2 linked regions of the Saccharomyces cerevisiae S288C genome follow. The protein of the gene in region 1 binds, or shares a complex with, the protein of each later gene. Each region holds a gene or a part of one and is shown on either strand. Other genes may lie near its edges. The genes, in order: MCM22 and CTF3. A codon is read from its position in the direction of its gene.

Region 1 (3,346 bases):
TTTTTTCGCAATTGAATATAACTTTTTATTTTATAGAAACATATTTATTTGTATAATCTTGTATATTAACAGTTAAGACTCATTATTGTTATCCTTCGGCTAGTTCGGTTTTTCAATAGCAGATGAGAAACGAAAACTATGAAGAATGAAAACGAGGTGAAGAATAAAATCATATAACAAAATATTGAAAAGAATGACGGCCGTAACTGATATCATCGATGAATTGAATGATTCGAGTCTTTCTTCTACAAGGCTTCGAGAGTTGTGTCTCCAGTTACGAAAGAAGACAGATACTGGATGTGCAATTACGGTGTCCGATGAGGTCAACCTTATTGAATCTCTCTCATATCACTCCATATCTCCAGGAGTAGACATACAAATCAACACAGATGTTTTGCAGACTATAGATTACTACTTTCAGCGTAACAAAAGTGAACATGACGAAATTATGTGCGTCCTTATTTCTAAGTTACAGCCACTACTTTTAAAACGCAAAAGCAACTTCGAACTCAAAGAGCAACGTAATCTTGGTCTCAAACCCACGCTTGGAATGTCTTTGAAAGAAGATAACCTAATGCAGGCGTGGGTAAGTCAGGGTGGCTTGAAAGGCATTCCGTTATTCTACGTAATTCTGTTACATTTGAAAAGGAGAGACATATCTACGAATCTTTCTTGGATTATTCCAGGAATTCTAAACATACTAGATGATACCACTGATATAAGAAGAATTAAACTTCGTGGTGTTCTGCTCCTACAGACGCTATTAAATCATACCTTTATGAACGAAACCAATGACTCAAAATGGATACAGTTCTCTAGTACTGGTTTATTTCCACTGTTCGAAAAGACGCTAATCAATATGTGCTATTTTCTCCCTCCCTCATACAATGCTGATGAAACAATAGCCATATGGCGGGTCGTTTTCCCAACGATACAGTCGTTATATAAAGTAGAATTTTTGGACAATTACACAAAGTATCAATATCACCTGGAAAAGTTCATGTCAGAGATAATCTTGCAAAACATAATTCCTAGGGCTAGCCTTGCATACGAAAATTTGACGTTATACGCATTGGAATGCACAATGAACATACTGAGACTTCAAAGAGAAGGGTCTGTTGTACATCTCCAGAGGCTGATTTTTGTTTTAGGTGAATATATTGTACGAAATCCTTTTTACACAACTTTTCCAAAACTTATTTCAAAAACTCTTTCAGTGGTAAGTACTCTCATAAAGGTTTGCCCGAATGAAAGAATAGTGGCTCACAGATTCGACATTTTATCATTAATTCTAGTTACATACGATAAGTGTTCGCAAGAGGATGCGTTGAACGAATCAATACTACAACAATGTAAGGAAACGATAAGCTGGTTGCTGAATTGTGACTGCGCTATGGGTGAACAGTTATCGACTCTATCTAAGCAACCGCGGTTTCAGTTACTTTTTGAGTTCTCATAGGAAACAGACACAGACACAGACAAATGCATATACATATATATATATATATAACTAGACAGTATATAAACAAAAAGAGTTATTTGCCCTTTATGCTGAAGAATCCCTTTTAAAGAAACCTTGGACATATATTAAAATATTCATTTGCTTATTTACAGATATATTAAGGTAAAGAGAATAATGACTCGGAGAGATAAATCGGTTTCATATTAACGGGTGTTTTGCAACCCGTTCACAATCCTGATATTAGTATCCAAAAACCGATTCACACAGTTAGACAAACATTGCTCTTCTTGCGAACTTAAATTAGAATCATTGACAGACTCAACACATTTTTTGAAGCATATATTAGTGAATTGATGGATTGACATCTGGACTTTTTGTTTGGAGTTCTCTCCCTCCAAGAAAGTAGCAATTTCCTTTTTGGAAGTGTCATCAAGGGAGGCCAAATCAGACGTTGATAGAGAAGACATTCTTTGTTGTTTGTAAATTTGTTTTCCTTTTTACCTCTTCTTCAATACTTTCATATAAATGAATGTTTCCATCAATTTTTACGTTAGTTAATAACTAACCGTTCGCTTTGATATGCAGCGTAACAACAAACAAGACGCATATGACGACAAAGAGGGACAAGAGCAAACGGCAGAAAGTCTCACAAAGGAAACATGGATGTTGAAAAGGATGTCCTGGATGTCTACATAAAGAACCTGGAGAACCAGATCGGAAACAAACGATATTTCTTGAAGCAAGCTCAAGGTGCCATCGATGAGATCACGAAGAGATCTCTGGATACAGAGGGTAAACCGGTCAATTCTGAGGTCTTTACAGAGTTATTAAGAAAACCCATGTTCTTCTCAGAGAGAGCTGATCCTATTGGTTTCAGTTTGACATCGAATTTTTTGTCTTTGAGAGCCCAAAGTTCCAGTGAATGGCTCTCGCTTATGAATGATCAATCAGTTGATCAAAAGGCCATGTTATTGTTACAGAATAATATTAATAGTGACTTGAAAGAGCTGCTACGAAAACTGCAGCATCAAATGACCATTATGGACAGTAAGAAGCAAGATCACGCCCATATTAGAACACGAAAAGCCAGAAATAAAGAGCTTTGGGACTCACTGGCGGACTTTCTCAAGGGTTATCTAGTACCGAATTTGGATGATAATGATGAATCAATAGATAGCTTAACGAACGAAGTCATGCTGTTAATGAAAAGACTAATTGAGCATGATTTGAATCTGACATTAAACGATTTTTCATCTAAAACGATACCAATATACAGATTATTACTTAGGGCTAATATAATAACAGTAATTGAGGGCTCTACAAATCCAGGGACTAAATACATCAAACTAATAGATTTCAATGAGACCAGTCTAACTTAAGTAATACTTCGTAGTCAAAGTGTGCTTCGTAGTGGTGTGAGGATGTTATAAAGCGCCAAAATTTAGAAGATCATAATTTGGCAGTAACCGTAGATTATTCACCAAAAAGCTCTTGACTTCCTCTTTTAATAGACTGTCGTTAAAAGGTCCTTAGTCCAGAATAGTATATAAAAAGTGTTGTATGGTAGTGGTATACCAATTTTGCTATGAGTAAAAAATTATCGTTGGAAGAGAGACTCTCCTTGGCAACTAAGAAAGGAAGAAAGAAAAATAAAAGGTCAACGTCAAATTTGTCGTCTCCATCGCCTGTGGTGCTGTCAAACAATGAACAAGAAAGTGCTCGTACATCCATTGATGATGCGGCTGCCGGTGTGGTGTCAATTGACAATGCTGAAAACATAGATGATCCTGCGGTACGATCAGAAAGCACTGTGGAAGGCGATACAGGTAAGGCAGATTCAATCGCTGTCGATGACGTGGTGCATCCCGATCACAATAGGACTGA
Region 2 (4,823 bases), on another chromosome or scaffold:
TGCCCTGAATTGGGATGAATCCAAGATTGTTGGTATAGAACGTTGGTTGCAGAAGGTTCTTCATTTGACCAAAAATATTCTCAGTCTCGAGAAGGATTTGGCAATAAGTAAAGACTACAAGACCCCGACCGACTTAAATGATGCAGAAGTGAAATTTCACAACGATTTCCAACGCTTCTTGAAATCAATTACGGAATCATTTGAAGTTAATCTATCGTTAAACACTGTAATATCTGATTATATGAAGCTAACCAATATTTTAGAAAGTGCATTGAAAAAAGGTGAAGTAAGGAATGAAATGATAGTACAGAATTTACAAAAGTTGGTAACCGTTATATATCCTGCTGTCCCGTCAATTTCAGAAGAAGCTGCAGAGATGATCAACTCCCAAATGGAATGGAACCAATACCGCTGGCCAGAAGTTGAGCGCACTACTGAGTCCAAATTCAAAAAGTTTCAAATTGTGGTAAATGGCAGAGTCAAATTCATGTACACGGCTGACAAAAACTTTTTGAAATTAGGTAGGGATGCTGTTATTGAAACTTTGATGAACTTACCGGAAGGGAGAATGTATTTGATGAATAAAAAAATCAAAAAATTTGTCATGAAATTCAATGTGATTAGTTTCTTATTCCACAAGTAATCATATGACGCCATGAATTTACCACTAGTGCTTGTAAATAGTTAAATATTAATGCCTTATAGATATAAATTGTCCAATCTCCTTTTTGGAAGTTATAATATATATATATATATATATATGTATATAAATGTGGATGCATATTCTAAGAATTTTGAACGCTATACTTTGAGAGACTCTTCAAATATGTAAACAAGAATGCTGCAATGTCTCTATATGGATTAGCAGTGTTACTCAAATGCATTAAAATCTTTACTCTCAAGTCGTGAATGTTATTAACGCCCTTTATCCAACCATGCTGGCCAATCTCATCATGATGAACTCGAAAGAAATTGTTAAACGTCTCTTCATTTATGATCCCACTGGTGAATTTTATTTTGGTATTTTCGGCCGTTTCCAGTCGTCTTAGAATAATAATACATATGTAGGATAGCGCTGGTATACCAGTTATCGTGAAAAATTTAGCGTTCTTGAAGTCTGCAGTTGGGATATAAAGATTCTCCAAAATCTGCTTAAAGAAATCTGGTGAGACTCCAAACAAACTTTTGGATGACAGAACTTTATTCCTGTAAAGATAATTTGTCAAATCCATGATATATTGGTTCTGCATCCGAACGAATTTGTTTGTTGACGGGTATTGCATCAATTTATTTTTCGTAGCAACCAAGTACCTGCACGCAGCTGATAATAGCAAAGGATCGTCCGAACTGAACACTTTATTCATGATGTCAGGGCCCACAATCAAATATTGGATCGCATAATCCGACTTCGTTTGTTTCGACAGTTGAGTTAAAATATCTAACGAGCTGATGAAAGCCATCGTAGAAAATCTGTTTGAAGTAGCATTGTTAAAGATTTTGTCCAAAGTTAGCAGGCTTTGCATGTCATGCAGTAGTGTCAACCCGAGTGCTATCAATTTATCATCTAAAACCCAGTTTGTAATCATTTGTAAAACGTAAAAACAAGTTTCAGAAAATGTGCAATTATTGTCGTGACCATCTCGTGTACTCCACATAAAAATACTGGCCATAAACTTAACGAAAAATTCCCTTGTACCACTGATTAGTTCAGGCTTCCATAATGGCAAGATTCCGCCACAAACCTTTTTCAACGTAAGCTCATCGAGTTTTAAGTATTTCAAATTACAAAACGTTTGAATAATGCGAGAAGACAGTTTATTATCCATTGAGGACACCGAAATAATAATGGGAATAACTTCTTGCGGAGTCTCTATCTGATGTGCAAAGCATCGCTTCAATTGCCAAATGCACCATTCGTATGGTGATGACGACTCATCGCGGCTATTTTTAATGAGAATGATACTAGAGTACAAGTGTTTGAGAGAATCCCTAGACATGACTTTTCGCGGCAGTAAAACATTGCTGTTTAAAGATGGCTTCATCATGTAATCTACATCATTGGGAATATGCAATTGTGGCCAGTTTTGAGCTAATTGTTCCAATGAAGTGACATCCCAAAGAGAGACCGTACTGTCAGAGGGAACATATTCTGGAAGTGATTGAAGTCGAAGTGGGTATATAGAATCAGCACCTAATTGATGAATTTCACTCAAGTACATGTCAATTGTGTTTTGGACAGTGTCAGCGGGAAAATTAGCGGGATGTGCTCTGGATAATATTCTTTTCAAAATGGATAGGAAATGCGCATCCAATTTTAAGTTTCGATGACTTTTCAAAGTCTTTCTATTGCAATTGATGGTAATTATTGATTCAGTAATCTGACTGGATGCGCCCACGAGACATTGAAATCGTTGCAAAATAAGCGTCGCACTACCGGGAGCGTCCCGGTAACCTGGATGCATAGCGCATCTCTTGATAATAGACAACTTCCAAGGTTTGACATCAACGGGCGTCGTGGCTTGCCAAATAACCAGGGGAGTTATCCACTTCTGTAAGAACGAGAATTGCCATAAATGTAACCAGATAGAACTGGATATATTGTGTTCTCGTTCTGAATGTACAGGAAATAGGAAATAAACATGCACTAACCATTTGCACAACGCAGATTGTAGGACCGGAGGCGTTTGTATGCGATATCTAGAGAATACCGTTGGCGTACCGAGATGGTTAATAATCTCCAAAAGAAGTTCCTTCGTCAAGTAGCCATCAGGTAAAAAGCAATTTTCGACGATGTACACTTTTGTAACTGTGTCTATTATGGAAGTTTCACAGAGTAACCTTACAAGTGCTTGTAGTTGCGGCGAAGAAAGACCATATTGTTTTGATTTTTCGTATAGCAGGCTTAAAGTGGTTTTAAGGGCCTGTGGTGGCGTTCGTTCGTTAGCATTCGTTAGTGAGAGGATGATATCATCTAGTATAAGACTCATTCATGTAAAAAAAACAAAAATTGAAGGGCGAACCGTATTAGCAGGCGTATTGTTTTTCATTTCATAGTTGATTGTTTTTGATAATAAATGATTCTATAATTTTTCGCGTATTATACAAATAAAAGTAAAAGAAAAATAAGATAGAGGGACATATAAAGAAATAGATGTTTTTATAATAAAGGTCTATACAGTATGGAGCGTCGCGTGGCTTGGCTCAAACTTTTAGAGAACCATTGTAGTCATAAACGGATCTTGATCTGATGTACGGATCTAACTTGGAGTAGTTTTCACAAAGAGCGGTGGAAAGTTGTACTCTTTTCTCCTGCAGTTGAATGTATGCTGGATCGTTCAATGGCTGGTGTTCAATCCATTGGGCAGTGACAGTCAAGAATTGTTCGACCAATTCTTCTCTCTCCTTTTCGATCATAGCGCGAGTCTCGGTGTCTTTCAGATGGACGTCCAAAGAGCCATCTGGTGGAGTGTAATGATCCAAATCATTGTCATTTTCTCCGCCCAGATACCTAGGGATGTATTGGGGTTGGATAAACTTGTGCAATTCGTCGATATTCTTAGTGAAAACAATCTTGGACGCGACGACCGGATCCAGCCAATTCTTGATGATGTTCCAAATCGGGTTAAAGATCCAAGGGGCCTTATGGATAAGTAGATGGCCCAAAGATTCCGGGTAGTGAGCCTCAAAACAAGTGATTAGAAACTTGACGGGGGCATAGTCCATATTGGACATGGAGAACCCGTTCAGATCGAACAAGATGGTGGTGGATGCGGGGTAGTTTTCTTTGAAGAAAAGCTTTGATTGCTCGATGACCAACAGGGAGAATTTTTCCAGCTCCTGTTCAGTTTGGTCGGAAGAATGATGTAATCTAGGTCTCACAAGGATGACTGGCCTCATGTCATTGTCGTAACCCTGGATGGTGGCCTTTTGCAATTCCAGGTTCTTAATGACACCGGTCTCGTTATTCTCATACACAGCTCTTTCGCCACCGTTTATGATCTTGTTAATAGTGTCCTTGCGCCAGTACAAATCGTGACCCAACATGGCGATGGTCTTGTCTGCGTTCCACTTTCTGGCTCTGATAAACTTCAAAATGGTGGCGTCTGGAGTTTCATTCTTGATATCGTGCCAGAACTGCTTCTTGGTCGTTTGCGGGTCTAGATTGGCTAGTGCCTTGTGTATCTTGCCCTTTTCATAGAGGTGTGCCGCTTCAGCGGCTTCGCTGGAGTCCTGTGTATGGTCTGAGGACTGAAGCTTGCTAAACCAGGATGATTTCTTCTTCTTAGCAGGGGTGGACGAGGAGTGGAGGGAGTTATTAGGGAAAATATGAGTTCCATCCACGGGAACTTGCCACAGATGGAAAAGGTGTGTCCAAATTTGCTTAAGGACGACCTCCTGGTCTTCGGTCAACTGTCTATCAAAGGACATAATCTAGTTTATATGTGGTCTTCTTATGTGCTTTTGTGCTTTTATGCTTCTGTGTGCGTACGTATCCGTATATTTGTATGTTTGATTTTGTTTAAAGGAGCGTAAGTGACAAGTGCCAAGATTTAAAGAGCGTACCAAACGCTATTGTTTTCACCATGTGAACAAAGCTGTAACGATTTTATGTACGTACGCAAGAGGACGATGCCGATTGAAGGCAGGAGCTCAACAAACACGAAACAAAACAACGAAGAAAGAAAAGAAATATATCAGAGAACAGAGACCGCCTCGTTTAGGGCCGCACGTATACCGCGCACTCTTGGGACGCAGGGACGCGATGGCCTTGCCATGTGCAAGATAAACAAGCTGTCAACGGCACAAGTAGCGTTTATTTGAGA

Evidence for each region.
Region 2: the proteins of MCM22 (region 1) and CTF3 are in contact, whole or in part, in a cryo-EM structure (PDB 7L7Q), measured with the Saccharomyces cerevisiae proteins. Residues at the interface, in NP_012669.1 of Saccharomyces cerevisiae: Leu57 (codon at 2,290), Arg58 (codon at 2,293), Lys59 (codon at 2,296), Pro60 (codon at 2,299), Phe63 (codon at 2,308), Ser64 (codon at 2,311), Arg66 (codon at 2,317), Leu74 (codon at 2,341), Asn77 (codon at 2,350), Phe78 (codon at 2,353), Leu79 (codon at 2,356), Leu81 (codon at 2,362), Arg82 (codon at 2,365), Ser85 (codon at 2,374), Ser86 (codon at 2,377), Glu88 (codon at 2,383), Trp89 (codon at 2,386), Leu92 (codon at 2,395), Met93 (codon at 2,398), Gln96 (codon at 2,407), Met103 (codon at 2,428), Gln107 (codon at 2,440), Ile110 (codon at 2,449), Asp113 (codon at 2,458), Leu114 (codon at 2,461), Glu116 (codon at 2,467), Leu117 (codon at 2,470), Lys120 (codon at 2,479), Leu121 (codon at 2,482), Gln124 (codon at 2,491); in NP_013485.1 of Saccharomyces cerevisiae: Leu296 (codon at 2,102), Glu297 (codon at 2,099), Leu299 (codon at 2,093), Ala300 (codon at 2,090), Gln301 (codon at 2,087), Trp303 (codon at 2,081), His338 (codon at 1,976), Leu339 (codon at 1,973), Ser342 (codon at 1,964), Ile346 (codon at 1,952), Ser384 (codon at 1,838), Ser387 (codon at 1,829), Met388 (codon at 1,826), Gly418 (codon at 1,736), Cys456 (codon at 1,622), Glu460 (codon at 1,610), Phe463 (codon at 1,601), Tyr464 (codon at 1,598), Asn500 (codon at 1,490), Asn501 (codon at 1,487), Ala502 (codon at 1,484), Thr503 (codon at 1,481), Ser504 (codon at 1,478), Asn505 (codon at 1,475), Arg506 (codon at 1,472), Phe507 (codon at 1,469), Met510 (codon at 1,460), Ala511 (codon at 1,457), Asp549 (codon at 1,343), Asp550 (codon at 1,340).

The regions. Positions count from the first base shown.
Region 1 is NC_001142.9:675,554-678,899, reverse strand, and holds MCM22 (Mcm22p), read left to right. Parts: upstream 1-2,121; coding exon 2,122-2,841; downstream 2,842-3,346. Other genes in the region: TTI2 (Tti2p), read left to right, coding at 194-1,459; protein transporter TIM8, read right to left, coding at 1,666-1,929; SGM1 (Sgm1p), read left to right, coding at 3,048-3,346. UniProt on the Saccharomyces cerevisiae protein: Component of the kinetochore, a multiprotein complex that assembles on centromeric DNA and attaches chromosomes to spindle microtubules, mediating chromosome segregation and sister chromatid segregation during meiosis and mitosis.
Region 2 is NC_001144.5:877,887-882,709, reverse strand, and holds CTF3 (Ctf3p), read right to left. Parts: upstream 2,988-4,823; coding exon 786-2,987; downstream 1-785. Other genes in the region: leucine--tRNA ligase NAM2, read left to right, coding at 1-643; CSR1 (Csr1p), read right to left, coding at 3,202-4,428. UniProt on the Saccharomyces cerevisiae protein: Component of the central kinetochore, which mediates the attachment of the centromere to the mitotic spindle by forming essential interactions between the microtubule-associated outer kinetochore proteins and the centromere-associated inner kinetochore proteins.